2 linked regions of the Arabidopsis thaliana genome follow. The main gene of each other region encodes a partner of the protein of the gene in region 2 in a complex. Each region holds a gene or a part of one and is shown on either strand. Other genes may lie near its edges. A codon is read from its position in the direction of its gene.

Evidence for each region.
Region 1: the proteins of IDA (region 2) and HSL1 are in contact, whole or in part, in a crystal structure (PDB 7ODV), measured with the Arabidopsis thaliana proteins. Residues at the interface, in NP_564941.1 of Arabidopsis thaliana: Val57 (codon at 11,650), Pro58 (codon at 11,647), Ile59 (codon at 11,644), Pro60 (codon at 11,641), Pro61 (codon at 11,638), Ser62 (codon at 11,635), Ala63 (codon at 11,632), Pro64 (codon at 11,629), Ser65 (codon at 11,626), Lys66 (codon at 11,623), Arg67 (codon at 11,620), His68 (codon at 11,617), Asn69 (codon at 11,614); in NP_174166.1 of Arabidopsis thaliana: Tyr92 (codon at 15,063), Asn93 (codon at 15,060), Gln117 (codon at 14,988), Thr140 (codon at 14,919), Gly141 (codon at 14,916), Val164 (codon at 14,847), Tyr165 (codon at 14,844), Tyr189 (codon at 14,772), Trp211 (codon at 14,706), Asp233 (codon at 14,640), Asp235 (codon at 14,634), Gln257 (codon at 14,568), Glu259 (codon at 14,562), Tyr261 (codon at 14,556), Leu281 (codon at 14,496), Asp283 (codon at 14,490), Ser285 (codon at 14,484), Met286 (codon at 14,481), Ser304 (codon at 14,427), Asn306 (codon at 14,421), Tyr308 (codon at 14,415), Glu309 (codon at 14,412), Glu328 (codon at 14,355), Arg330 (codon at 14,349), Phe332 (codon at 14,343), Asp354 (codon at 14,277), Ser356 (codon at 14,271), Glu357 (codon at 14,268), Glu376 (codon at 14,211), Leu378 (codon at 14,205).

The regions. Positions count from the first base shown.
Region 1 is NC_003070.9:9,994,805-10,012,249, reverse strand, and holds HSL1 (HAESA-like 1), read right to left. Parts: upstream 15,538-17,445; 5' UTR 15,337-15,537; coding exon 12,750-15,336; intron 12,483-12,749; coding exon 12,079-12,482; 3' UTR 11,795-12,078; downstream 1-11,794. Other genes in the region: NAC010 (NAC domain containing protein 10), read right to left, coding at 383-933, 1,508-1,700, 1,791-1,991; AGL59 (AGAMOUS-like 59), read right to left, coding at 5,472-6,020; AGL58 (AGAMOUS-like 58), read right to left, coding at 7,727-8,284.
Region 2 is NC_003070.9:25,818,573-25,832,985, forward strand, and holds IDA (Putative membrane lipoprotein), read right to left. Parts: upstream 12,210-14,413; 5' UTR 11,819-12,209; coding exon 11,585-11,818; 3' UTR 11,345-11,584; downstream 1-11,344. Other genes in the region: PPC4 (phosphoenolpyruvate carboxylase 4), read right to left, coding at 4,370-5,194, 5,398-5,604, 5,679-5,805, 5,926-6,014, 6,095-6,193, 6,294-6,440, 6,516-6,617, 6,700-6,825 and 12 more; NUDX1 (nudix hydrolase 1), read left to right, coding at 10,518-10,653, 10,728-11,035; AT1G68780 (RNI-like superfamily protein), read right to left, coding at 13,309-14,385. UniProt on the Arabidopsis thaliana protein: Involved in an ethylene-independent separation step of floral abscission. Promotes abscission zone (AZ) cells rounding. May act with RLK5 and HSL2 as ligand-receptor pairs.

The sequences.
Region 1 (17,445 bases), about 16 Mb from region 2:
CATATACATGCGTTACTAACAAAAAAAGTACTAAACCAAGAGTTCCGGTTTCCAAAGTCCTATTTTATCCATTTTTAATTTCATTATTACTTGAAATATTTGTTACAATAATTGAAAGACGAGCTATTACAGTATTGTTTTGACATATTTTATCTAGAAGAATAGAAATATAAACAAATATCAGTCATGTCTCGAGGTTAAAGTTACGCCCCCAATTTAATAATAAAAAAGGTTAAAACCTAAAATCTCCCAAAAGCTTTGAGGTAGATTACTATGATAGTTACCCAACACCTACACACAAAGAATATGTGCTCTCTCATTCTTTTCCTCATCTTTACTCCAACAAAGCACCTCCATTTATATATATTATATATGTTATGTTCTATTGATTCTTCATGAAGCTTTCTTTACCCTTACTTGCATCACAAGTAAAACTAAGAAACGAACATGACCCATCGCCTTCACGAACTACCAACTCTCGAATCACCTGCGTCGTCTCTTCACTTTTACCACCATGCTCATACCCGAAACCGGCCTGAATATTTTCATAACTAAACCGGTTTAGGTTTACGAGATTTTTCGGTTTAGGTTCCATCGAACCGCATTGCCTAGGCTGTGTTTGGTAGAAGACTTTAGAGAGGACTGGTTCACCGTCTTTTTCGTCCTCGCTGCTACCTAAATGATACTGATGCATCACCCAATTCGTCTTCTCAGGCTTCTTCTGGCGACCATAGTTGGTGTAGAGCACTAGGATCTTCTTGAAACCGGTTTCTCCTGATTGAGACAAAACAGGTCGAGTCTTGCCTGTTTTGTGCCACCTTGTTTCATGGCCTTCCTCATCTGTGCTCACTTTTCTTCGTTTTCGTGTTCCGGTCGTATAAGCCTTTGATGGCCGGTGGAAGAAGTGCCGTACTTGCCCGTCCTTGCTTACTCCTACTTGGGACAAGATGTACTTAAGTTAAGCATATGTTGATCTGATCATCAATCACATCGGATTTGATGATTTCACTTTTATAATCTTACACCAAATTGTAGAGACAATTTTATTTCACAAAACTTTACTATATGCATGTGAATATGTGATCATTTGTTTTTGGGATAAAACCAACCATTACACTTCTGAACAAATCTTCTGAACACATATTATATATCAAATCTAGCAAGATTTTTTATTTTATAACTAACCAAAATATCTATGCCTCTACAAAAAAAAATTTAAACCGAAAACTCTAATATAAAATGGTAAAGCCAAGAGTGTTTGTGTAGACTCCGTATGCAAAAACATGCGTTACTTACTTTTGACCCCAAGAAAAGAAGAAGATGTAAATTTTAAATGAAATGAAATCGCGATAACCAAAATAGTCATTTTTGGATAATTCTCCTTGTTTTCATGGTGCTAATTGAGAAAGAAATATCGTCAATAGTATTCATTTATTTTTCTGTAATTTATACTTAGCTCTGTATTGATAATACAAAAAAAAAAAAAAAAAAAGAGAGGGTTACATACCAGGAAGTTTCTCAGGATGCGTATAACAAATTCCATTCTCTCCTTCAAGCGTAGGTATAAATTCATCAATCAACGGATGAAGTTTTCGCTTATCGGATGATACCTTCGCCTCCAAATGCATAAGGATCTCTTTATCCGACGGATCGAATTTGACTCCTGCCGGTAAGCTTGGTAAATCTTTGATGCTACCAACCTTATCAGATCTCATTTTATGTCAAAATCTAAAGTAATCATATTGATAACTAAAGAACATTTAGGTGAATTAATGGTTAACATATGTAACCTGGTCGTCTTGGTGATGATGGAGCTTGTGTCCGCAAGAAGGACAAGTCGTGATGGGAGTTTCAGCGCTAATCTTGGAATCTGGACGGCTCGTTACACATGATTGAGATTGGTCTTTGAGTTGAACCGATGGATGATCAGTGTTCGATACTCTTTCAAGATTAAGATCGTAGTTATCATCTGAACCATCACACCAACTCATCCTTCTTATTTTACTGATCTCTCTATACAAGTGACCTACCAAAATCTAATTACAATCAGAACTATCAAAAGATAAAACGAGAGAGAGGGAGCTAAAGATGAGGAGGTGATATAGAAAGAGGGGCAAGTGAATGTTAAGTTTTGGAACTAAAATTTAATTATAGTATATTAAATTAAAATGGTGTAATAAAATAATATTTTTGGGAGGTTGCGTGGACGTCAAGTTTATGAATGGTGTATGTACATACGTTTGCAACAAATAACTTTTAAATGCATTTTTCAACATTTTGATTATGACTATTTTAATTTGAACCATTTTAACCTTTTTCTAGTATTCACAGTTGAAATATTGAATGTGTTATAGCTAGAGTTGTGTGAAAATGTTTAACTAATGGTATCCAACCACACTTAGGAAAACCCCTTCAAGAGATCATTAAACTAAATCAGGATATGGAGTTTATAAAAGAAAAAACGAAAAAAAATAGAGAAAACTAATCTCTTCAAAATCAAGAAAGGTGACGAGAGATGGAGTGTCGTTATTCAAACTCATTTTCTTTTCCAAACTATTTAAAGTTTTGCCAGTTTTATTTATTTTCTATTCAATATATCATATGCCATAACATGATCTTGATTGATCCTTTAACAGATTATATTTTATATATATAAAAAAAATCCAAGAAAAAGATCGTGTGATGAATTATGCAATGGAAAACGTTAAGTTATGCCCGACTATCAATATTTCATGTATGTATAGTAGGATTCATTTACGAAATATACAATAGATAAAGAGATCTCATAGATAAATGTTAGATCATATATATATGTTGGACCAACTTGGTGAAGCAATAAGACCATATCTTCACGCACAGAACAAACTCTCGTGTTAAGCAAGTAACCTATACCCAAAAATTCTCATATTTTGGCTCGTTGACAACAGATTCTTCACCAAAAGTTATTAACTTATATATATTTTTTCTCAATCTGTGTCTTAAAGTAGACCTAATATTGAATTTTCTTAGCTAACCACAATATTAAAAGACGAACTATATATAATTAGAATGGTACAACCAACTCTCCAAATGTTTTTTTTGTAAATGCTATGGTAATTCGGTTTATTTGGGTAAGCACTCGGGTCCGTACACATGATCCTCGATGGAGATGCGAAGCTTCATGAACAAGAAACTAATAATCTCAACCCAAAAAGTAAATGAAAAAGACAGATGTAAAGGAACGAAACAGCTTACTTAGAAAGCTTTTTAGAAATGATTAATTTCATATATTTCATCTGTTTTAATTTTCAAAGAAATATGTTTTTTTATCTAGTATATAACTATATTTCTGTTAAATTATATTTTAATTATAAATATGTCATTAAAATTTTATATCAAATAATTATTTGACTTTCTTGTTTTAAATGTTTTTTTTTTCTTTTTAGTCGAACACCATTTTACTAAGTTATCGGACGGAATTTTTCTTCTAAAGAAAGACAATCCTAAGCAGATGTGTTTACATGGGAGAAAAGAGACCCTCATGCTCTTACCTTTTTAGCTAGACAATCAGCACAAATATTGTTACAAGAGGGAAGAAACCTAATGTAAAATAAATAAATAAAAAATGAAAAAAAATTCAAAATTTCAAAATCCAATAATATTATAAATTAATAATCATAGATCTTAAGTATATATTTTAAGACTAATTTTTATATGAAATTTTTATTCAAGCTACAATTACAACTCTTTTTAAAATACAACTGGTATGATCTTTGTTATACTCATATAATTAACTATTTGCGTATTTGATCCGTCATAGTTGATTTTGTAAAATCTTTTTGAGAAAGCATTGCTAAGATTTGAGTAAAGAGAAATTGGATTAAGCTTCATGTTTACGTTTACATTGACGTTAATGGCGTAGATATATAGACACAATATCTTGCTGAAAAATAAATTAAAGAAGTAAAAAAAAAACTAAAACTAACATAATTATATATGCAAACAACAAAACATATAAAAACTTAAATTAAGAAACATTTTAAAAAGAATATAATATTGTATTTTATGTAAATATTTCTATAAATTAATATTTATTAACTTATCGTATAAGTTAATAAATATTAATTTATAGGATAAATTAATATCATTATAAATTAATAAAATTTCATGATCCCAACATTACTAATTTATAGAGTTTCTACTGTATAAAGCTATTTTGAGCCTTCTATACATACCATAGTATCCATGGGAAAAGGTGTCCAATTTCTTTACCATTCATCATTCCTTTCACTTTCGAGAAAGAAAATCCAAATTGGAGAATAAGGACTAATCAGAAAAGGAGGAAGGCAGTGATGGAATTGGTGAAAGAGCCCAAGTTTGAAGCACTGGTGGGCATTCAAAAAAGAGGTGATTAACTGTCTCCTCCTGAGCACCACATCTAGGACAATGCTTTTCCTTACCGATGTGTCGGTAGAATAGTGTATGGTTTGTTGCCAAGTACCCTGATAAACATTACCACAAAATGCTTAAGCTTTCTTGTGGTTTTTAACTTCCATACTTGTGCCAAAAAGGGAGTGATTCCTGGTCCCTGAAAAGGGTAGTCACAAGTAGGGCGAGAAAGTTCTTGCGCAACCCAATACCCTGACTTAACAAAATAGTTACTAGATTTTATTCTAATCAAACTATATCCATCACTCAAATAAGTGCGACCTGGTCGGACACCTAAAATCAAAGGTATGTCCGTTTTATTAGTTGGCACGAATTCAAATTTTCTTGACTTTTTTTTGAGACCTTGAAGGTTTCCTTGTCTGCATTGGTCCTCTGTTTAAAATATGTTGGAGATTGTAGATGTTTTCTTAATCCATGAATATAGTACGATTAGAGCGTAAACTAATATCCTCTTAAAAGAATGTAATTCGAATCTCCCATGAAGTGAATGAACAACGTGAAGATGGGAAAGATAAGCTTTCAAGACTAGAGCTTTGGTTTAGACGACTACTATGAGACTACTATCTCCACAAGACCAAACCAAGACATACCAATCTAATCGGCTAAAGTTGATGAACAATCTTTGGAGGACTTTATTCCTTTCCTAAACAAAATCTGAAAATCAGAAGACATGCTAAAAATTTACAAAACAACTAAACCTATATGGGCCAAAAGCATATGTGCTTATTTAATAACAAAGTCTCCTTGTTATGTTACAAAATCTTTCATAACTTCTCTTTGATAAAATAAAATAACATTGAAGAGTATTATACTACTACACAATACTTTTTTCTTTCTGTTTTGATAAGATTTCGTTAACCTCAAAGGTGATATTTATTAAAACAAAATATTTCGGTTTCTTTAACCCATTACTGGATGTTGTAGAAAACAATAACAATTCATAATGTATAAAAACAACAGAAGAAAAAAAACATAATTCTTAACACTCATAATTAACTAGTGATGATCACAAATGATCTACTAATTAAAATCTTGATTATGAATCATTTGTTATTATTCTCATCATGTCCTCTCTTGATCCTTGAAGCAGCTTGCTCACACAGTTTATCATAGAGCTCTTGATACTTCTCCATCATCTTCTTCGCCTTTTCGTGATCCTTCACGTCATTTGGATCCACTTTCCACCACACATCCTTATTCACGACCCTCGTCTCCGCCAATGCAGCTGCCTTCTTGACTTTGACTTCGTCCACCTTTAACTCCTCCACCAATCTATTGTATTTTTTGCAAAGCTCTTGAATCTTCGCTTGCTTGTGAGCATTCATGACCAATGATGATGAAGAAGACGACGAGGCATCGCCGTTGAGAAACCGCTCCGCCACGGCTTGGAAGGATGGACTGCCAAAAGTGTATGGTTTTCCAGAGCAAGAATACCCGATAAACGCAACTTCAACACCACAGAGAATAGAAAGCTCACTGATTTTAGTGTAGATACCATTTAGACGCTTAGAGAATGTGACCGATCTGCCTTCATCTTTTTCAATTTTCTTGATGTTAATCTTTTGTTTTCCTTTGGTTTTCTTGGGATTCATTTTGGAGAAAAAAACAATTATGAGTTTATTGGTTATAAAAAAAAAAAGAGAAATTTAAACTAAGTATGTGATTGTTGTTTTTGGCTTTAGCCAAGGAATATGTTTTTTTTGTTGGGTGCAAGATAAGGTTTATATAGATGGAAAAATGGTAGTAATTTAAATTTCATTAAAAAAGTCAATTCTTAAATTAATGTTTGGAAGGTTGGTAATATTTGTAATCCGCATAGTTATGGTCGATTAATAAAAACTCTTAATTCCGGATGTAGAGACTTTGACTAGAAGAGATTTTATGGTAATAATGAATGTATGATATTAGATTAATGTTTGGAAGGTTGTTAATATTTGTTATCCGCATAGTTATGGTCGATTGATAATAACTCTTAATTCCGGATGTAGAGACTTTGACTAGAAGAGATTTTATGTTAATAATGAATGTATGATATTCTGAACTTATATTTTTTTTTTTTGCGTAAAAGGTTTATTTATACCAATTTTCTGTTTTTTTCTGTAGAGAAGCGAAACGTATTAAAAATAAAGCTACTACAAAGGAAAACTAATACATCCAAAATAAGTAAGAAGAAGAGAAGGAGAGGTAGAAGAAGAGGCATGGAAGGAGAGAAGTCGATCCCTTAAAGAGCGGTCCAGGGAAGCTTGAGTAACAGACGGTGGTGAGTTGATGTTGTTGAAGATCCGGGCATTACGCTCTCGCTAGATGAGATAGCAGGCCGCTTGCAAGATGAGCTTGACAATAGTCGTGATCTTGGGGTTAGAAGAAGTCCTTGCCTGCAAAATCCAAGAAGAAATCGAGAGAAGACCAGATGGAGGAGAAGGCCAAATCCTTGAAGCAAACCCTTCCCAAAGAGTGGCAGAATAAGCACAGTCAAAGAATAAGTGAGCATGAGTCTCTAGGCCAGAAGAACAGAGCACCCACTCAACAGGGACATTAACTCCCCAGCTTCTTAACTTGTACCTTTTGTATAAGAAGCATCTTCAACTCCCACTTCTCAAAACATTTCTAAATTAGATCCTAGTACATATATACAAAAAAGATTCATTCTACTTTCTTAATTAGAGATGATACAAGGAACATATATGAAATAATTACACATCGATATTCAGTAAAAACTATGGCAAAATTAAAGGAGACTATATATTTACACGTTTGTGTATGTAATTAATTGACAAAGAAGTTGTCCAATCTAAATTGGTAGTGAGTGTGCAAAATATGCATAAAGGTCATATGCTCAGTTCTTTCTAAATAAGATTTTATCCATAATTTTTGTTTTAGAATTTAAATGAAGTGGCATCTTAAATTGTAAACGCTGCATCCTAGTAAGCATATGTTAACGGAAATGTAACACTCTTTGCCAATTTAACAAAGTCTCCTTGTAGCAGCATTTTTCACAGTTTAATATGTTACAAAATCTTTCATGACTTCTCTTTGGTAAAATAAAATAAAAATTAAAGAGCATCATACTACTACACAATACTTTTTTTCTTTCTGTTTTAATAAGATTTTGTTAAACTCAAAGGTGATATCTATTAAAACAAAATATTTCAGTTTTTTTAACCCATTACTGGATGTTGTAGAAAACAATAACAATTCATAATGTATAAAAAAGACAAATAAAAAACATAATTCTTAACACTCATAATTAACTAGTGATGATCACAAGTGATCTACTAATTAAAATCTTGATTACAGATCATTTGTTATTATTCTCATCATGTCCTCTCTTGATCCTTAAAGCAACTTCCTCACGCAGTTTCTCTTTGAGCTCTTGATACTTCTCCATCATCTTCTTCGCCTTTTCGTGATCCTTCACGTCATTTGGATCTGCTTTCCACCACGCATCCTTATTCACGGCCCTCGTCTCCGCCAATGCAGCTGCCTTCTTGACTTTGACTTCGTCCACCTTTAACTCCTCCACCAATCTATTGTATCTTTTGCAAAGCTCTTGAATCTTCGCTTGCTTGTGAGCATTCTTGACCGATCGTTGCAACGATGATGAAGAAGACGACGAGGCCTCGCCGTTGAGAAACCGCTCCACCACGGCTTGGAAGGACGGACTGCCGAATGTGTATGGTTTTCCAGAGCAAGAATACCCGATAAACGCAACTTCAACACCACAGAGAATGGAAAGCTCAATGATCATAGTGTAGATAGCATTTAGACGCTTAGACAATGTGACCGATCTGTCTTCGTCTTTTTCAATTTTCTTGATGTTAATCTTTTGTTTTCCTTTGGTTTTCTTGGGATTCATTTTGGAGAAAAACAAAATTATGAGTTTATTGGTTATAAAAAAAAAAGAGAGAAATTTAAGCTAAGTATGTGATTGATGTATTTGGCTTTAGCCAAGGAATATTTTTTTTTTGGTTGGGTGCAAGATAGGGTTTATATAGATGGAAAAATGGTGGTAAATTAAATTGCATAAAAATTAGTCAATTCTTAGATTAATGTTTGGAAGGTTGTTAATATTTGTTATCCGCATAGTTATGGTCGATTAATAACAACTCTTAATTCCGGATGTAGAGACTTTGACTAGAAGAGATTTTATGGTAATAATGAATGTATGATATTCTGAACTTGTACCTTTTTTTTTTTGGTAGAAGGTTAACTTTATACCAATTTTCTGTTTTTTTTTACGAAAGCGAAACTTACTAGAAAAAAAAATTGCTAGAAAGAAAAACTAATACAACCAAAATAAGTAAGAAGAAGAGAAGGAGAGGTAGAAGAAGAGGGAGAGAAACCGATCCCTTAAAGAGCGGTCCAGGGAAGCTTGAGTAACAGATGTCGGTGAGGTTATGTTGTTGAAGATCCGGACATTACGCTCCCGCTAGATGAGATAGCAGGCCGCTTGCAAGATGAGCTTGGCAATAGTCATGATCTTGGGGTTAGAAGAAGTCCTTACCTGCAAAATCCAAGAAGAAATCGAGAGAAGACCAGATGGAGGAGAAGGCCAAATCCTTGAAGCAAACCCTTCCCAAAGAGTGGCAGAATAAGCACAGTCAAAGAATAAGTGAGCATGAGTCTCTAGGCCAGAAGAACATAGCACCCACTCAGCAGGGACAATAAATCCCTAGCTTCTTAACTTGTACCTTTTGTATAAGAAGCATCTTCAACTCCCACTTCTCAAAACATTTCTAAATTAGATCCTAGTACATATATACAAAAAAGATTCATTCTACTTTCTTAATTAGAGATGATACAAGGAACATATATGAAATAATTACACATCGATATTCAGTAAAAACTATGGCAAAATTAAAGGAGACTATATATTTACACGTTTGTGTATGTAATTAATTGACAAAGAAGTTGTCCAATCTAAATTGGTAGTGAGTGTGCAAAATATCCATAAAGGTCATATGCTCAGTTCTTTCTAAATAAGATTTTATCCATAATTTTTGTTTTAGAATTTAAATGAAGTGGCATCTTAAATTGTAAACGCTGCATCCTAGTAAGCATATGTTAACGGAAATGTAACACTCTTTGCCAATTTAATTGTTTTGTCATATTTGAATTGTTCGTGTATGAAATGTAATTTTTATTTAAGTTAGTGTACTTTTAAGCACACTTCATAGGAGAACTGGCTGTTTTCCCGTAGATATAATTAACAAGGATCCTATTATCAAAATTTACATAATAGAGTATATGTATTATGCTATTACTGTAACTCCTAGAAAAGTCAAAATGGTTTCACCAAAGTTATGCCCTAGCATGTTAAATTGCATATATATATTTATAGTTCTGATAGTTTTTCAATAACTAAATGGTAGTAGTCTAGTAGTTTTCACTTACATAGGAGTTGTTATGCAGGTTTAGGACAGAAATCAATTTTCTTCAAATGCAAAATGCACTAAATTACTCTATTCTAGTCAAAATGATGCCACATTTTAGGTTTATTAAATAATTTTGGCATTCTAATGTCATTTTTTTTTTTTTGGCTTTAGTCACGAAGGAATTAGTTTTATGGTAAAAACTTGGAGCACTTCTTGATTACAAAAGAAGTATATCTAATTTTCTTTTTTTCCTAGTTTTTTAGAAGAAAATAAAATGAAAGCAGTTTGGTTTAAGTAAGTAGTAAGTTTTTATTGTTATTTGGGGGCTTTAAAGAAACTTAAGAAAACAGCGAGCAATATTCAGAATTTACCAAACATATATTAGATGTAACAATAGTCTGCTCCCACAGGCCCACTCTTAAGTCCAAACTTTTGTTCCTACTTCCTTATCAAATGTGTCATATTCGTTACAAAGGTTTTTCAGAAAGGTTTTTAGTAAGTTTTCAAACATTTTACAAGTTCTTTAGAAGCTTGGCAAGTTATTTGTTTACAACATATATTATCTTTACAAAAAAATATAAAAAAACATATACCAAAATCGTCTTTTGTCTTTCCTAGTTTTTTTAATGGGCCTTTGACAAATTTGAGAATAGAGAGAGTAGAGTCGATATGTAAGACTTATTCAAAAATGTGGAAAACAATGTGGGTCCGATAGGCCCATTTAAAAGCCATATGACCCCTAAGGTGTGAGTGTGTACCGTGTGGTGTGGGTCACAATAACACTCAATTACTCTCATATGTATTAATGATGTACATGATCATTTCGCAATCCTGACCTTATCTATTGAACTTTGGTCCCTTAGTCCCTACTATGCTTTCCATTATAATTCTTTGTTTCTTATAAATAATTATGCTACCCACGAACTATCTTACTCATATCATACCAACCACTAGCAAGACTACTATACCAAAATTACTAGAACAAAGTTGCATCACATATAAAAGAAACTTCACACAACTATCAAAATAGAATAAAAAAAGAGTGTACTTGTTCTAGCAAATACAAACATGTTATGTGGAATCTCTATGAAACCTCATCATGCAACAAGTTGAAAAAAATAAACAAAAAGGAAATGCAAAAACAAAGAAAACAAAATTGAGAAATGATTTAGAGAGTGAAAGAGACAGAGAGACAAGGCAAAAGATGAAGGTGAGGTGTCTATGTCCCTTGAATTGAATGATAACAATGTGGGCTGGCTTCAATGCTTATTGGACCCACTTTTAATTTCCTCACCCAACAGCTCATATTTAGATTCTCACCCTATTTATGTAACCTTAATGTAAAATTCTCTAGTTAGATGATAAAGCTTAGCTAATGTTGAGATGTCAATGTTTTTGTTTTGGATTTGTTTTATACTCAACAATAATAGAAGTTATCTCTTTAGTTTTTAATGTCGTTACTTAATTGCAATTAGGAAGTTAAACGTTTACCTAATCACTACCGGTCGATTTACATGACTTAACTAATTCTTTTTCTCTTTTTGGAATTATATCTTTCTTACAAATAGTTCTCGAACTCCAAGAATATCATGTTTTAAAGAATGACTGTCAAAAAAACATACGTTGTTTATTATAGATACTAGACTTCACACAAGTAACTAAAAGTTAGAGATCTTTTCGCAGGAAGGTTGATATTAGTCATTTCATGTGCCAAGTCTGATGTTCATGCTCGTGTACGGAGAGAGTAAGTAAAGGAAATAACACAACCTGAAATTATAAATAATAATAGAAAAGTTGGTTTGAAAAAGTTGAGAATTTAAGAGACATGTGAATCTACAGTGACATCAAACTGTACACGAGCCTCCAAGAGTTCACTAAAAACGAGAGAGAGAGAGAGAGCCTAATGCTTTAAAAGATTCAGATAGACATGTTCCTACACGAACCTTGAATCTGTTTACCCAAATATGGAAACTATTTAAATGCATGTTAACGCCAGAAAGATCGCAACTTTTTCATTTGCATTTACCAAAGATAAAAACTCTTACAAAACCAGAGTTTACTAATAGCTTTATACAGTGGAGAAACTGAAACGCTGAATTAGAAACTTCTTTATATATATTATAAAAATTTCGACAATCTCTGATTCTCACTTTTAGATCAAAACCCTAAAAAGGGGTGAGAGAATCTTGATTCAATGCCCTAAATTGACAGCTTCAAGCACCAAAAATTGAGAGAGCTTTTTTGGGCAAAACACTTTTCTTTCTCCATTTGTGTCTCAAGCTATACTTCCTTGGTCTGAGGTGTCTTCGTTGTAATAAGGTGTTAACTTGCCATCCTTGTCATCTCTTATCTTGTGTAGGCTATCTTCGTCTCCACCACCAATTTCTTGCAACATCTTAACCACACGCCTCATGGAAGGTCGGTTAATGGGCAACGGACTCGTGCAGAGGAGTCCAACGTTGAGGATTTTGCTTATCTCTTCTTTGAAACAAGAGTCGAGTTTCGGGTCTATCACATGCTCTATGCCTTTTTGGTCCAATGTAGAGCAAACCCACTTCACCAAATCCTTCTCCCCAAGTTCTGGATCAACCGGGCGTTTCCTAGTTACTATCTCAAGGATCACTACCCCGAAACTGTAGATGTCGCTTTTCTCGTTCACACGAAGCGTATATGCGTATTCTGCAAGAAGTTTGAAATGAAAGTTATGGAGGGAAACAGACAAACAAACAAAAAGTTTCAAATTCCATTAATGGACAAGTGAGAAGTTGTGGAGCCATGGTTTCAGACATGTCTCAATAGATAGTGAATGCTCATTTAAGTCTCAACTAATAAAACTTAAATGTGGTTCATCTGAATCTCCGTGCAACATGTACCAAATGAGCATTATTACCTTAAGCAAAACTGTTGATTAAACAAAGCACATTTAACTTGAATCATAAGACTAACCTGGTGCGATATAACCGCATGAACCAGCGATCACTGACATCGATTTAGGAGCTTTTCCGGTCAAGTCGACAGCTTTAGCCACACCAAAATCAGCAACTCTTGCACCATAATCTCCATCGATCAAAATATTGTTTGACTTAATATCTCTATGCACAATCGGAGGAACAGAATCATGGTGAAGATACGAAAGCCCCTCAGCCGCATCTAAGATAATCTTAAACCTCGTTTGCCATCCCAACATTCCTCCTTTACTGCTATGAAGCAAATCTCCCAAACTACCATTAGGCATGTACTCATAAACCAAGAGCTTGCAGTCTCTTGTAGAACAGCAACACCATAGCTTCACAATGTTCTTATGCCTAATCTTACCCAATGTCTCAACTTCAGCTTCAAAAGCCTCATCTTGAACTCCAGGTTTGTAACCTTTCTCTGGATCACAATCTCCAGTTTCCTTAACAGAACCTGTCCATAAACGCTTAACCGCAACAGTTTCCCCATTGGTGAGTACAACCTTGTAAACTTTACCTGAAGCTCCAGCTCCAATCACATTATCTTCATCCAAGCTTTCAAGAATCTCATGCTCACTGAACCCGAGTTTGTGGAACGACATTAGAGTCCACTTAGATCTCTCCATGGCTCTTGCTTTCTTGAAAGTCCTGTACTTGAAGTAGAACCAAGCAACACCCGCAAGAAGCACCATCGCAGCAAGTACGAAAATCGATCTAAGAAGCCATACATAGCCTCTCTTCTTAGCTTCATTCTCAGAGCCACACAATCCCTTGATATCCCCACACAATCCCGGGTTCCCAATGAAGCTATTCTTATACATATCTTTCGCTAAAGAAGGCGGTAAGTCACCCGATAACCGGTTATAAGACAGATTCAGCTGGTTTAGCTTCAAACTCTGCAATGAAACCGGGATCTTGCCAGAGAACATGTTACCAGAAAGATCAAGATAGTTCAATACTGACAAACTCCCGATTTCATCTGGAATTTTACCGGTGAATTCGTTATCGGCTAAGTTTAACTCGTTGAGCTTCTTCCAAGATTTGATTCCAGAAGTTAACTCTCCTGAAAACTGATTACCATGAAGATCAAGAGTACCTAATTCTCCAAGACTCATCAAGCTATCAGGCAACGAGCCACTGAACTTGTTCCCACTTGCCGACAACTGATTAAGATTATCCAAAGAACCAATTTCCTCCGGCAAAGATCCGGTGAATTCATTGTTGGAGAGAATCAACAGCGAGAGATTTGAAGCACCTCCAATGGACTTCGAAATTTCACCGGAGAACGAGTTGTTGACGAGCTCAAGCAAGTTAACATGAGGCAATCCCCAGAAACCTGTAGGAACTGAACCGGAAAACCGGTTATAAGCTAACCGGATACGTGTCAAGCTCCTGCAATCGGCGAGACTCTCCGGTATAACGCCGGAGAAGGAATTGTGTATAATCAACAACTCCTCTAGCTCTCCTTTCGCACACAGATCCGCCGGTAAGTCGCCGGAAAATTCGTTTTCCGAAACATCCAACCATCTCAACGGCGAGTTTAGACCGAGGTCTTTTGGTAATCCACCGGTTAACCGGTTTCCGAATATTCTAATCTCGTACAAGTTCGGAGATAACGCTATACTCGCCGGAAGCTCACCTTCTAGATTGTTCTCGTAGAGATTCAAACTCTCCAACGGCACACGGCAAAGCTCGTCCGGTATTTTCCCGGTTAACTGATTCATCGACGCGTCGAGAAGTCTCAACGATTTCAAATTCCCGAGCTCCGGTGGAATCTCTCCGGTCAACGAGTTGTTGTACAGCTCAATCTGAACGACGTTAGTCAAACCACCGAGCGAAGGAGGAATATGACCTACAAGGTCGTTGAGCGCAAGGTCTAAATCAACGAGTTTACTGAGTTGACCCAGCGAGTCAGGGATCTGTCCGACTAAATGACACTCAGTGAGCCACATAACCTCGAGATTCGTCAAGTTCCCGAACTCCGGCGGGATCCGACTCGGACTAAAGGGGTTATACGAAAGATTCAGCATCTTCAACGTGCTGATGTTGCCGAGAAACGGAGGAATCGTACCGTCTAAGAGATTGTAAACAAGAGAAAGAACCTCTAGGTTTTCGAATTTGCCGAAACTCGCCGGAATGTCACCGGAAAAGTTGTTACCGGTCAAATCTAAGTGAACCAAAGTCGGAATATCGGCAAGAGTTTGTGGAAGCTCACCGGTGAGTAGATTCTGAGAGAGATCGAGAGTTTGAAGACTCTTACAAGCAGCGATGTTGAGAGGAAGAGTAGAGTTGATGGAGTTATTGTACAAAGAGAGATGAGCCAGATTAGAGAGACGACAAATGACTGAAGGAAAAGGTCCGGCGAGATTAGCGCTGGAGAGGTCTACGGAAGTGACGGAGGAGAAATCACCGGCGCAGGAAACGCCGGACCACCGACAAGGAGAAGCATCGTTGGAGTTCCAGGAAGAGAGATATGAGTCTGGGTCGTCTAACGAGAGCTTGACTTGTTGAAGAATGAAACCGTCTTGGTTAAGAGAGAAGACGGTGGGGAAAAGTAAGAAGAGAAAGAGAAGATACATGTTTCTTCGTCTTCCCCGGTATCTATGACGGTGGTTGAAGAAAGAGAGAGAGATAAGAGAGTATGAAGAAGAGAGTGTTTGTGAGAGAGTGCTTTGAAGGAAGAGAAGAAGAGAGTCTATAAAAAGCGTTGACCGGAGACAGGTGAATTATCGTGACTCTGACTGTGAATGCTATAAAAATCATTTGTTTTTCTACTATCATTTATTTTGTTTTTGTTTTCTATAACGATTCTCTCTAATTATTTGTTTGCAATTATTAGTATCTATGTCGAGTTTCCAACATTGTATAATTATCCTGTGTTTATCTGATTATAAAAGAGAATGTTACTAATAATGATGATCTAGCTAAATAGCCATATGGAAGGAAACATTCTTTTTTTGTACTTTGTTGTTTAAGAGAATGCAACTGTTTTTAAATTAGTTATGTAGGAGACGATAAGATTGTAAATTTTCAATTAAATAATTTTAGCTTTATAATATATATGGAATTTGCATACAAATTTGATTTCATTATATATGTTTTTAATGTAAATGAAAAGTTAGTTAGTAGAGTAAATGTGCATTTTAAAAAAATTGCAAGGTGAAAAGAAGGTACGGTAAACATTAATTTTGAAATGTAGATATCTGATTTTTTTTTTTTTTTTTTTTTGGAGATGGAATGAGATATATTCCGACAGTTTTATTTATTATCGGCGTTTGTAAAGTAGTAAAGTACAAATATTGTTAGAACATATCAAAAAAAAAAAAAACAGAATGTGTTGGAAGTTTACTTGGAACGTAGTCTAAAGTCGATGTGAATTAAATTAATTATCATTCAATTTTAAAAAGTTTATGCACGTCTTAAAGAGTATTAGGAATATTGTATCAACTATTAAGAGAATAAACTAGCATGCATGTAGAAACATGAAAATATTTTATTTTGTTGAAATGTGAAATTCATTTTTGAAGATAATAATATGTAGTTATTTACAAAAAATGCAAAGAAAATATGGAAGATAGGATAAGATATCAAAATATTGAGATATTTATGAAATTAAACATTCTCTAATGAAATTTGTTATACTAATTAGTATTGCAAAGGGAAAGAGGGGGACAAACTTGTATGGTTAAACGTTAGGAAACATATTGCCTAATGGTGTAGTCAATATGAGAATGCACTTCTCAAGCGAGAGTCATGAGTATTGCTTATCTTAGAGATGTCATAGTCTTAAAAAAGTATTCGAGTCGAATAAGAGTTCTTTATGGTTTTTAAATTTTAGGTTGATATGCAACAAAATTGGAAGACGTAAAATAATGTATTGTGAAAAACAAACTGTGTGTACACTTTGTTCTTATTCTCACAACTTGGTTTTCATAAGTTGTTACGGCTAAACGAAATCGTAAATTATTTTGTAGGATGTGAAAAAGAGTTGCACTAACTGTACTTGTGTTCAAGAATTTTGTTTTTGAGGACGTGAATACATTGTTGAATCCAGTTAAAAAAAATTGTTATCTATTTTTGTTTTTATTTTCTTACGATTTGGATTTCATGCCCGTTACATTATGAGAATTGTTACGTTTACTATCATAATCTCAATCTTAGTTTATCAGTTGGAATTTGATTTTATTTTAGTTAATCTTAATTTAACAAAATAATAAACTCATAAAAGAACAACACAAATTTTGCCTACATATATGTTAGTTAGAAAACGTATGTTCTAACATATGTATCGGTTGAGAAAAGCATCACTTTAATCAACATACCATTTGAATGATATTTAAAGAGATAGATGAGTGAAATTTTGGAGATAGATTGATTCCAAGCAGTCTTCTCTTCTTCGTGTTTCTAATAGTTTCTGTGAAACACACAATACAAGTTGTCAAAAAAAAATTAGGGTACACTAAACGGAGTTCGACACTTGTATCCTATAAGATAGACATTTAAGAAATTACGTACACTACAATAGCTACAAATCTCTGTCTTATGAGATTGTTATAAGCAAAGTCTCTTTCATCCTACAAATTGTTGCTAGCTAGTTGATTGAAAGAAACCGTCAAATTAGTTTTGTTTATATTTTTAATTTCATTACTTAGTTAATCAAGTTTCCATTACGTGTGATTGATGTCCTC
Region 2 (14,413 bases):
GGAAAATGATGGTCTGAGTCGGACCGCATTTATTTGTTTTCTAGCTTCACATATTCCACCACCTAGGAGACATCAGTTCCACATTTTTTGTCCTTAAACAGTTATGAGGTATATGTAGTGGTGACATGTAATTTAGTGAATATGAGGTATATGTACCGGTGACATGTAACTTAGTGAATCTATGATGTACACTTATGTAGAACAGTAGGTTAATCAAATCAGAAAACTCTAAATCATTTGGGAAACTTTAACAAAACCTGATAAAATCAATTTTGTAAGAATAAGATACCAACCTTCAATACTATACTATCTTTGATGTCGTGAGAAAAATATAGGGCCCAATTTTAGAATATATGGAGAATATCTGTACGTTGAGTCTCTCTAGATATAAGAAATATGCTCCTCCATCTTCATTATGTGTTTTTTCATTAACGCACATTAGGAGCAAAATTAACTTTTTTTGAAAATAACTTTTAAACTAGTAATATGTGTAACTGCACTGCTTATACGTCTAAAATCTAAATATGGGCAACCGTACCAACTATACGATTTTTTTTAACAAAATGGTTGTTGTATCCGTTGCAAAAAAAATGTATTATGTAAGATTATATTTGGAAATAAATAAGCTAATATTTTGATATAAAGTATATATATGTTTTTATCAGGAGGTTATAAGCCGAGTCCCATACATTTCTTTGATATTGGACCAGTTTTTAATAACGTTTTGTATCAGCTACCACTAAATCATGTGAGTTATTGGAAGTCTAGTAGAATATGTATTTTCACCAAAAAGACTTAAGCAGATGCCCTTTGCACAATACTATTGAAGTCTAAAGAATATATACTTATTTAGCTAGCACCTTCAGGAAAGTACGTGTATGTCGCACATCTAAGGTTATGCACAGTCTTTATTTGTTTTTATTTAACTTTAATTTTACCAACATGCATGCATGTCTACGCTATATGTACTAATACATGCTAGATTAAATTATCTAATTATCTACAGTTCAAAAAGAGTAACAACGATGGCTAACTTAAATTAGTATATGTGGAAGCATATGCCGTCAAGGCAGCGATGTATTAATGAAGTCTCCCTTTCCCTGTGTCTGGATTCGGATTCTTACAAGCCAACCAATGTGTTAAGAATCGATTATCTTCGAATCGTTGAGAAGAGAATATATATCACGATCCTCAGAGAAAAAGGTTGCTTTGGAGGTATTTTGCGATTGTGATGTATTTCTACTTGAATAATTCCATGTGTTTGGACATTGTTAAAGACACTATTCATTATGTATATTGCGTGTGTTGTATATAAAGTCTTCATATGTTTTACCTGCCAATTTTATAATACATATTTTAGTGTTTGATTTTTTTTGAATATGTAGTTATTAATAGACATAATTATGGTTGAATAGTAAACCTTTAATTTCTTGCAATGTTAAATAATATAAAATGAAATGAGAAGCTGCATGTAATCTTACCTAGAGAAAATTGTTTGTCAGTTTACTATTGCATGAAAGTTGTGAATCAATAACTTTAAGAGAGTTTGATATTATTCTCCTGATGATCCCTCCTAATTTACTATTCTCAGAGGTTTTAGTACTAAGAATTTTAAATTGATCCGGGGTTCGATTGTATAATATTTTAATGTGGAATCTTAATTAGTTTCAAAATAATCAGAAAAGAGGTATATCCATATGAAATATTTCACTTAGCCTTTTGACAAAGCAACACTTGGCTCAATTAAAATTGATCTACAGAATCTCTATGGTACTTTTATATATTTTCCAAATCTTATTCAAGAGAAATTCTACATCACATAGAATTAAATTATTCAAAATAGAATAATTATAATGACTTCAAATTTGATATAGAATAGATTATTAAAAAAAATAGTACCCCAGTAAAAACATATTTGCTATACTTTAAATAAATGTAATCGTATTATTCATTTTGGACACAGGAAAAAATCGTATTATTCATTTTGGACAGCAGGAAAAAATCGTATTATTCATTAACTATTTTTACTTTCTTCCTAAATTAAAATATGTTTATTAGTGTATCACCTAGTTAAAAAAATAATAATTCTATGAAACAAATCTGCTTTGTCAATTTAGGAAGAAAGAAAAAATGGATCATATGTCTTTCTCCGAATGTTATTGAATTCAAAGACATATTGATCTAAATTGCCACAGGACAAAAAGAATCAGTTAATATGTTTTTAAAATTTCTTCATATAACAAACGTATCGGGAATCTGAATATATACTTTTTTCATCTTATCTTGTATAATTTATTAGGTTTAGAATACTATATGAAGATTATGCCTTATCTTCTTAGTATAATGCCGAGGATAATTCGTTGTAAACATTTCTGCACATCTAATTTCATTAAAATATGTAAAATTATACTATCCACACATACATTTTTCTCCAATTCCATACATCATACATGGTGGAAAATCCGGTTACTACTATTATGTTGCAAACCAAATAGTTAAGATATCGTCGTAAATCAAGTTTTCTATGTTGCATAACGTTTGTCGTTGCTTTAGTTCCATCGGAAAATGAAAATGCAATGGATTTGTGATAATACCTTAAGACATCTAGCGACTGTTTTAATTTACTATTATCGTAGATGAGTTGCTATTAACGTCATCAACAGAGTAATCGACCTTCTCAAATTTATCCGTTTAGTTCAGTTTTTTGAGTTAGATTGAGTAATGTTTCTTTTTATTGATTTCACGTAATTTTGAATTTGTCGTACATATAGTTTAACTCGTAGTACTAAAAATAGACCGGTGTTGTTTTATTTCTAAACTCTACTCTTTCGGGTTGCTTCAAAAAGGAAGTTTCAAAGGCATAAACGATGGACTGGCTTGCTTCTTCTTTTTTTCTAACGATGGACTAGCTAACTTACAATATTGGGTTCTCTATTTTCAACTGAAGTTTTCTACACATGAGGCATCTTTTTTAAGATTACTATTTTACTTTAAGAGAAAGATGATGTGAAATCAATAAGTTATAAAAAAAGGTCATATAAAGTCTCTGTCAGGTAAATTTTAGATTTATATATGACAACATAAAAAAAAACTATAATTTTTTTTTTTATAAAGTAATTATAGTTTCATATTTTTTAAAGAACATGTAGTTTCTTCTATATTGAATTTGATATACAAATCACATTTTATCAATCGCGGAATCAATTTGTCGAAAAGCGGTAGGGATTGTGGTTGTACGACAACCAAAAACCACAATTTGACTCAAAAAGATAAAAAGGCAAAGTGAATTCAATCATTTCAGGCAACATCATCTTCACAATATGTGATTGTGTATGTTTATTTATAGGACCCAAGAATGCATGTTTATCTCACTATTATGACATCATTCCATGGTTTATTGCCAATGATCTCACCCAACAATGTTGTTCAATGATTCAGCCGATTGTGGATGGTAAAATGGATGTCGGAGCTACCACCCACCTAACCTCGTAGCTATATACATGACCTAGGAACTATGATTATTTTGCCATTAAAAGACGATGTACTATTGGACATCAGTAAATTAGATTGTTTCATTCTTAACATGAAGATATATCTTGGATCTGCCTGTTGTAGGTATTAACAATTTTGCAGTTTGATTTATTACATAAGGTCTTTGATATGGTTATTTTTGACAGTTGACTAATAAACGTCTTTAGGAAACTTGTATGAGAAAATAAACTTTTGTAAAATCATAAGATGCACAACACTTAACAAACAAACAAAAAACGATGTACCCCACGATCAAATAATATTCTTAAGGAATATGCTTTGGGTCATGAAAACTTTTAAATTCAGACATGTAAAAGGCTACCATATAGTATTTTTAGAAAGCAAATAGTAAAAAGCAATTGAAACTAGAAATAATAGAAGACTAAAAGTTACTTTAAACACAAATTTTGATCCATTAACCTTGGACCACAAGTTGGTGTTTTAAACATGAAAAGGTACCTTATGTTTATGGTTACAGGATGTGATTTAGATATCTATATTATAAAAATATGTGGATGTATGGAAATTGCAAAAAAAAATTCCTTTGGTTGTAATTTACCCATTATTTAATAATTGGAGCCTAAAAAAATCATTTGTGCCAAAAGATAGACAAATATTCTTACTTTTGACTTGGCCAAGTGAGAAGTTATAAACTATTTGCCGTTCTCATTTGTAAGAACGCCGTGTTGTTCAACAAGTGCAAGCTCAAACAGCAACACAATGTCAGATTAGAGGTCCAGTACTAGTACTAAAGAATGACATCAATACTTGTCCAACAAGAAAACAGCAAAAGTAATAGTATCTTTTAAATCACGTAAGCAAGTGTTGTGGTAGTGTATTAACCGGTATTTCTCATTCCTGCAGCAATACCATTGATTGTGATAAGCAAAGCATCTCTTAGCTTATTGTTATCTTCATCACGTCTTAGCCTCTTAAGAATTTCAACTTGTAACATGTTCATTGCGTTGAGATACGGAAGTCTACTATCAATGAGTTTCTTCAAGCTCTTATTGTCCTGCAAGAGTTTCTCGTGACCACTTATCACAAGAACGTACTTCTCAGTAGTCATTAGTTCTTTTCTTAGCTCAGTGCCAAGTCCTCTTCTTTTCTCAGACACAAGTTGTTCGTCGTAGTGTTTGGTCATTGGAATGTCTGCTTTAGCTAACACCATCTCTATAAGTTCAAGGGTGGACTGAAAAAATGGCCATTCTTTGTACATCTCTTTAAGATCATCCGCATGACCCTTCTCAGAAACTCCCTTTAAACCAGCCCCTACACCAAGCCAAGCTGGAAGAACAAACCTTGTTTGAGTCCAAGCAAAGACCCAAGGGATAGCTCGGAGATGTCCTATTCCACTAGAGCTCTTTCTTCGTGTTGGTCGGCTTCCTATATTGAGGAAACCAAGTTCTGCTTGCGGTGTTGCCTCATGAAAATAAGATAGAAACTCTGGGTTTTCATACACTGTGCTTCTATAGTGTTGGCAACTGATTCCAGAGATTTCTTCCATTAGGTTTCGCCATTTTTCCTCTCGAGGTGGCTGAGGAGGCTTTAAGGTAGCGAGTAGAACCGCGGTTGTGTATACCTCTAGTTGCCTAACAGCCGTTTGTGGTATCCCAAACTTAGCTTGAACCATCTCACCTTGCTCAGTTGAACGCAAAGAGCCCTGGTCAAACCAGTTCAATCATTTTAGCGTAATAGCTCATTGGTCTAGTGCCATGGCACCAAAAATGTATATATATATATATATATATATATATATATATATATATATATTTTTAACCCCGTATTGACATTAGTAACAAAACAAATAATACAATCATTAAATATGTTTTTAAATGATCAATAAATAATAGTTTGGAAACTGACCATTACAGAGCCTGGTGGTTGGGACTGAATAGCGAGATAGGTTGGACCACCACCACGACCAATGCTTCCTCCTCGTCCATGAAATAATGTTATTTTGATTCCAAATTCATTACAAGCAGCAACAACATTTTCTTGAGCTTTGTAGAGTTCCCATGCTGCAGTAAAACGTCCAGCATCTTTTCCAGAATCAGAGTATCCAACCATCACCTACAAGTAACATTGTTACAAGTTCTTAGAACCTCCCTTCAAAATTAACATGTTTAAATTCACGTGTAACGTACCTCTTGGTGACCGTTGTGGTTCTTTTGGATGTGTTCCCTATACCAATCGATTGAGAGCAATTTCCTTATCGAAGGACCAGCGGCTCTTAAATCATTCACCGTTTCAAAAAGAGGTACCACTCGTAGCCTATTCAAATAAATAGATAGTAGTAAGAGATCTTAAGACTACTAAAAATGTTACTCATGTATGTACTTATAAAGTGATTGCTATAAACAATGTAATATCTTGGTGGAGATTTGAACTCACGTTCCACCAGGACATGGTTTTCCATGTTCGCTAGTTAAAGCAAGTCGAGCATCTTTTTGAAGAAGTTCCACAGCGAGGACATCACTTGCCTGCAAGTAACAAACAAATCTATGTCATTGTTTTGTTTTAATGAAAATGTTTAAAGTCGTCATGCATAAGAAAATTATACATTTGAAGCCATAGAAATAACGTAAGCGCCAAGTGATTCACTTCCAAGTTCAGCAGCGACTCGGAATGTGTCCAATACTTCTTTGACGTCAGGACCAACCTACATAAATAAAATACAGATAAATAAATAAAATTTAACAACTTTCATAACATAACATTGCTCTTTCTTGTAGTTTACGCAATAGATATTTCATTATGACCTTAATACATTGAGGAACAAGAGGTCGTTTCCCTTTTAGTTCTCTTGTCAAAAATTCTAATTTCTTCTCTTCATCCCATTCACTATAAGTACCCATATCCAAGTATGTTGTAATTGCATCCAAAGCTTCAGAATGTCTTGCAGCTTCCTAGTAATTGAATCACACATATTATTGAATTAGAGGACCAAAGCATGAAGATTTAAGAAAACAAACTAAAATCACCTGGCGTAAGTCGAGTTTCACCAAAACCATTCCAAAGGTAGAAACTCTACGAATCAGATCAGCAAGTCGTCCATCAGCTAGTACCCTAGCACCCGATGATTGCTGCAAAAACGAATGATGTTAAATTTTATGATTATGGATTATTGTGGTAACACAAGTTTCACATGGAATCAAGATTGCTAACCAGAGATTCGTAACAGAGGAGCAATGGTTCAAGAAGCTGATCTGATGTTTCATAGGAGTTTTTAGGGTCATACTCACAAGGAAGACCCTCAATAAGAAGTTCAAGAAGTCTTCTTGTCTTCACAAGCTATGATCATAAATCATTAAATTTGAAAATCTGTTGGTTTTGACATGCTAAATCTGAATCTTTATATTATCTTTGATTGAAAAGCTTATGATCTTTACCTTTTCTTTTACTTCTCCAAGAACAATACGATAAGGAGCACTTCCAGCTCGTTTAAGTGGAGGTGGTTCTAGTAGCTTTTGGAAACTAGTCTTCCCAACCTGAGATTCCTCAAATAGTTTTCTCTGGAGAAGAAGTTGAGAAGTAGATGAGAAAGAACCTCGAGAAGTAAGACCGGACCGCGAACCATTGTCAATTTTCTCCCAGTCGCTTTCCGAAAAGTCTTGTTCATTCTGCTTCTATATAAACAAAGATTAAAAGAAAAATTAATCAAAAGAGGATGGAGAAATTTCTGTAAAATATGTTTCATCTATATGTCAGCACATTTAAAGGCTTTGTGTTACCTGGAGATTGGGTGGCATATAATCTGTCGTCGCAATTTCAAATTTGGTATGTCGTGATTCACCAAAGTCTGCAATGGGATGTGATATAAAACATGCATGGTTTTGAGATATTTACCAAATGCAAGAGATTAAGAAATCTTTTTACCAATGCAAGCAGGAAGGTGAGCTCTAGCTGGAAGTTGTGTTGGCAAGCATGATGAACTTTGTTGCTTTTGGAAATTTGATTTTCCTCTATCATAATCTTTTTCAGAATTTTAAGGGGAAAAAACATCAACTTTATTCAGAACAAAAAATTTTTATGTAAATGAACAAGTAAAGATTTAATAGAAATTGAAGCATATATTTACCCTTTTCAAGAATTTTATCAGCTAATCTTGAAAACCTATCACTGCATCGATCCGTAGATAATTCAAATCTTAAGCTATCAACCTCTCTTATGTACAAATCAATAGCCATCCATCTAGACAAGAGAGATACTTCTTTCGTGACCTGGACAAATGATATCACAACATTCAAGTGTGTGTTATATATCAAGAGAATATGTGACAATCAAATTTTCTGATTGCAGTTTTAAAAGATCTTCTTCATCAAAAAGTAAATGTTAAGAATCTCATATTACAAGTGAGATGTGACCTAGAGTAATATAATAACGACCATGGACTAATTTTCATTACCGGTTGGTTTTGAGTTCAAATCGTAAAATATCAAAAGACTAACCTTTGCCGTGACATTTGGATTTCCATCTCTATCACCTCCCATCCAAGAACCAAATTTCATAGGAGTGCATGTTAGTGGAAGTGGCTTCCCTGTAAACTAACCAAGAAAATACAAAATATCAATATTATCTTAAGATAAAGTATAACGATTATTCATATATTCTAGATACCTAAAGGTAAAATAATACCTTCTTCAAGGAATTGCTGACACGACGCAGGTATTGTGGTACTGCTTTCCAAAGGGATTGCTCCACTATGTTTAGACCTAAATGAATGAAAAAGAAAGAGAAATAGTTTTTTAGAGTGAAACTTTTCTGTACTTTACAATTATATTTAAAATACCAGCTCTAGCTTCATCAACTGGAGTAGGTTTCTGACGTCTAAGCTCATCAGTTTGCCACAGTGAAGTAATCTCTCTAACCTTTAAGTATAAGTAACTCTTAGTTTATAAGTTACTCTGCTGATAAAATTTATATGGAAGATATTGAGATGGAGTGTACCAAATCTTCAATGAGCGTTTCGCGATCTTCAACGCTTAGATCTGATCTAGTGTTATATTCTAGAAGATGCTGCAAGAACCATATACTTTTAACTCTCTCAAGTAAAATTAAGAGATATAATCCATATATGTTAACATCATTAGAACTAACTTACAGCAATTCTAATATGCTTGTACTGCAAGGTTCTTCGATTTATTTGGGTAGGATGAGCAGTAAGAACAATTTCGACCTCCTAAAGCGCGATAAACAAACAAATATCAAATAGAGAAAACAACACTCAGATACGACCTTTGTGTTAGATAAAACGAATTGAAATGTTTCTAAAATGATACAATATGAAGTAGCTAGACCTGTTTGCAAACAGTTTTATAAAGTTCGTCTGGAGAGATTCCACTTTGCAATAGCTGGCTGAATATATCATCACAAGATCTTGCAAGTTGTGTAACGTTATGGACTTTGTGCATTCTGGAATAAAAATGTTTATTATTAGAATCCACAATGTTTAAGTTTAGAATTATCTATTCATGTTTATTACTTGTAATATTTTTGTTGTAATGTGATTACAAAAATCATGACCTGTGATGAGTGTCTGCAATGCCCATTAAGTTAAGAGAATGAGTGAATGTACGAGCCAACGTTAAGGCTTCTTCTAGTGGCATTTTGGATATTTCACTAGTCAATTGCTTCTCCAAAAGGTTTGCGGTATCCTCAATACCAGCCATACGCAAATTTAACGCACTCTGAAACATTTAAAAACCACACAAAAATAAGTCGTATCATTCATATTTGTTTCGATAAGTTGATTGATCTATATGACTATATCTCTTATTACTACGATGTGAGATTCTTATCAAATGATCTAAGCATATGGAAGCGAATAGACAGAAGATGAAACCTGAGCAAGAATCCGAATGCGTTCGACTTTTTCCATGAATGGGTTGCCAACTTCCCTTTGTAACACATCATGGAAGAGACTACCGAGCAATTTGCAGTCATCTTCGAAGCTTTGGAATGAGATTTCCTCTGCGATATCGTCTGTTGTGTCCGTCATTGTATCAATGAACAAGGTGAAGGAATGAATAATTGCAGTGATCAAAGTTAAATATTTTGAAGAGTGATTATATATGGTTTGTTAGCTATGGTGCTTAATTACTAATTATGGTGGTCAACGCAGTAAATTATGGCGTAGTTAAATTTGTGGTGCTAGTCATCTTTCCCCAAAAAAATATATTCTTATTTCTTAAGCTAATTTTCTTCCTTTCCAAACTAAACAACAAAACAAACAGTTGATATATTATAATTAAGAAGAAAAGAGAAGGAAATTCTACGATTTTTTTTTTTCTTTTTTTGGGTAAAAATTCTACGAAAGGAGTAACTGGTTTTAACTAACTCTGTTTTATCTTTGGACCTACAATTTATTTTGTGCCTCTTTGGTGATTGTTATTTTAACATACATTCTTATGATCGGAAAAAAAAACTAAAGTACAGTAAATGACATATAATTTGGCTAAGTCTTACTATCTAACAAATGACTACTCCTTCTATTTTTTAAGAAAACATAATAAATGTTGATTATAAATACATTATTTTTTATGTTTTACAGTTTTCTATAACTCAAAAAACAATGATAATTAATTTTTTTTTTTTAATTACAATTCATCAATACTAACCAATAAATATTGCATAAAAAACTTAAAAAAATCAATATTTTAGAAATAAATTTTTTCTAAAAAAATAATCATTTATAAACAGAAAAGTATATGTATATGTTATTTTTTACATAATCGTTCTCGTTATGGCAACATCATAAAGAACATATATTATATAATATCATCTAAATTTTTTAATAAATAAAATGAAAACAAGTGCAATGGAAAAAGAAACAGCGATAATTGTGTACAGCCAATCACACCGACACGGCGACACATTTGCCAACACGTATATAAACGCATAACCGATACGACATCGTTTTAAACTCAAATTAAGTCAACAAAACTAAAACACGACAAGAAAGGGTTTCACTGTGTTCGATAATAATGTCGACAGGAGAAGCGATACCAAGAGTCGCCGTCGTCGTTTTCATTCTCAACGGAAACTCAATCTTATTAGGTCGCCGCCGTTCCTCAATCGGCAACTCCACTTTCGCTCTTCCCGGTGGCCACCTCGAATTCGGTCTCTCTCCTCTCTCTCTTCTCTCTTTATATCACCCAAATCTTGATTTGATCTAATCTTTGTTCTTTGATCAGGAGAGAGCTTTGAAGAATGTGCAGCGAGAGAAGTAATGGAGGAAACAGGTCTAAAGATTGAAAAGATGAAGCTTTTGACTGTTACAAACAATGTCTTCAAAGAAGCACCAACGCCATCACACTACGTCTCTGTTTCGATACGTGCGGTGTTGGTGGATCCAAGTCAAGAACCGAAGAATATGGAACCAGAGAAGTGTGAAGGATGGGATTGGTATGATTGGGAGAATCTACCAAAGCCTTTGTTTTGGCCACTTGAGAAATTGTTTGGAAGTGGTTTCAATCCTTTCACTCATGGTGGTGGAGACTAATAGATGTAAGAGTTAATGATTGATTTGGGATTGAATGTTGCAAATTGGGCATTTGGTCTAGTGGTATGATTCTCGCTTAGGGTGCGAGAGGTCCCGAGTTCAATTCTCGGAATGCCCCTCTCTTTTACTCTTTTTTATTGTATTTTTGGTTTCTGTTTTCCTAATTAGTAATAAACTTATCATGTGTCCTATCGATTTTATTTCTCTATGTTTGATTATTACGTTCTTAAGTCTTAACTCAAACATTGACCTATTTGAGAAAGACGAATGATATAACTTACAAGTTGCATAAAAACATATGTTTGATTAGCGTATGATGAGTGAGGTCTATGGAATATTCTTTAGTAGAAGGCTAACAAAGCTTAATCGATTTCTTGATCTTTATATGGCCGTAATGACCTTAAACATATATTAAGTCTATAAACATAAAAAGGAACAAATTCAAAAGTAAATATAAATCGTATGCATATACAAAGAGTATAATACCCTATGTTGATCTAATCTACAAAACCAAACCTAAAAGAATACAATGAATAAAATAAAATGAAATCAATGAGGAAGAGAGTTAACAAAAGAGTTGTGTCTCTTAGAAGGAGCAGAAGGAGGAATGGGAACGCCTTTAGGTAAGTAACCAAAAATATGGCTGTTTTTAAACGTTAATCTCTTTATATTCTTCTTCATCTCCATGGTGGCTCCAATTCTTGCAGCCGCTACACAAGAACTACTCGCCGCGAGAAACAGAACAAAACAGAGCAGAACCATCATCGTACGACACGGAGCCATTTGGTAGTCAATGTTTTTTTTCTTCTCTTTTTCTAATTTTTTCACTTCCACTTCTTTGAGTAAATGAATGAAGGGTCTTATGAATGAAATGAATAATGTGTATGTATGTGACTATGTGTTATATTTATAACATGTGTGTGTGTGGATTTGATTGGAAATAAGTGTGGCGGAAATGAGGGGGAAGTCGGGGAATGGTAAGAGTGGAGTGAATCCCACGCTATTGAGACTTTGAATTTTCCTTATTATTTTATAAGAATTCTAAAGTTTTCAAAGGTTTGAGTTTTTCTCGTTGTTTTAGTCACCGCCTTCGACTTTTATTTTCCTTTGTATTTTTCTATAGAAGTCCATTTTATGCTAGGAAATGGGAATCTGGTTTGATGGGATGGTCGTTTTTTTCAAGATTTCATCATATATGTACAAGTACGTTGACGGGAAGAAGAATAATTAATGGTTTTATAGGCATCGTCACCATGAGCTATCTTTTGTTTTCTTTTGCATTATTCAACTTTCAACAGTAACTATATCACAAGATGTATGAATAGTAAAGCAAGATTAGTTTTCGAAATTCGAACTCAAATATCAGACATGACTCATGAGCTTTCTTTAAGCACACAATATATCATATATGTCGTGCAGAAAGAAAATTAGATATCATCCTTGGACGAATGACGAAAGTGGTAGACAATACACGTATGTATAGTAAAAGGATTAGACTAAATGATAACATGTCGTAGGTTAATCATGATACGGAATAAATAATAATTTAGTTAAACGAATATACACATAAAATATACTGAAAAATGCATGCATAAAACACGTAAAAACAATGTATACCAACTCTATCTTTTGCGTGAGAAGGTATTTTAAGAAATTAAAGAGAGAACAAAAAGTAGCTTGGAGGGTTGACTCAGTTATACACAATTTTACAACTTGACAAGTGGCTTTCCATGATTCACATTTTTCTTTAAATTATGCCAAATTTGATTTGGATATCCACCTGATTTCTGCATCTATATCGGACTTAGTCACGGATTATTATTTTTACCTAAATAGAATTTTTTATATTTCCTTTATGAAATGCCAAAATAAAATAAAGTTCCAACATACCTCCTACGATTAGACATGTCGCATAAAATCATACAATTCTTCTAATTTGATGGAAACAGGTAGATCTTTACATATACTAAAAAAAAACAAATTTTAACTAGGTAAGAACCGACCGTATCATACATTGAATCATTGATACACAGTAAATTTAAACTAGGTAAGTCTGTTATTTAATTTTATGATTGTATGATCTAAAAAAAAAATACTTGGAAGTTTTTCTAATGAACTTCGAGATATCAAAACTATATTTTGTAAATACGCTAAATAATTTAAAACAAAATAATGCTATAGAAATAAGATGCAATAACAAAATTGAAAAGACCACAGCTTTGTATCATTCCAAGTTTTTGTTATCACAAACCCTTTGATTCAGAACGAGGGTTCTAATATTTATCTGCCTTAATTCTCTTACATTGGTTCACTCCGAAAGGAACATGATCGCTAAGGTTCTTGGTCTCATCTCCGTTGTAACACAGATTAGGGTTCCCCCAAACACCAAGTCTCCTTCCCATTCTCTCATAAAAGTACCTAGAGAATTCCAACTCTCCGCTGATGTTATTTCCATTCACGTAAAGCGCGCTGAGACTAGGCATTTCGGTTTCCATTTGTGGAATGAGTTTGCCTCCGAGATTGTTGTTGCTCAAACCCAAAAACCTCAGTTTCTTGAGCTCCAAGATTGAACCAGGAATCTCCCCTTTTAAGCCTGTGTTGGAGAGATCAAGAACCACTAAATTCTTCAGATTTCTCCACTTTATTCCTGTCAAGTCCCCGGCTAGGCGATTATTGGACAGAACCAGTTCTACCAAAGAAGTCATCTCTTGGATCTCTTTACTCAACCCACCTGATAATCTGTTGTTTCTCAAGTCCAATAGAGTGAGATTCTTCAAGGACTCTAGCTCTCTAGGTAACTTTCCTTCCAAGTAATTGTTACTAAGATCAAGTTTCAGCAGAGAATACAATCCTCCAACGCTTAAAGGCAACGCCCCAGATAAGAAATTCCTGCTCACATCCAATATCAACAATCCGGTTAACCCGTAGACCTCAGGTATTCTCCCTGTGAACCGGTTTCCAGACAGTACTAAACGTCTCAATCTGGTTAACTTGGCCAAATTCACTGGCAATGGACCTGTTAACTTGTTTTCTAGCACCACCAGAGATTGAAGGTTGGTGAGGTTAGTGATGACAGAAGGGAGTTCACCTATCAGTCCCGGGTTTGATCTGATCTCAAGTCTCTCCAAGCTTTTAGAGAGATCCAACCACTTTTCATCGGAGATTGAAGCTAGATATCGGTTAGGCGTTGTGAAGCAGTTGAAAAGAGAGAGAGACTTGAGGTGCTTGAGCTCAAAGAGTTGTGGTCTGATCACTGGACTTTCAGAACAAGCAAGAGAGTTGTCTTTCATAGTCCCAAAGCTTAGAGCAGTTACATACCAAAGCTCATCATAGATATCACAAGTCACACCCTGCAGAGTTAAACAACAGAGAATTACA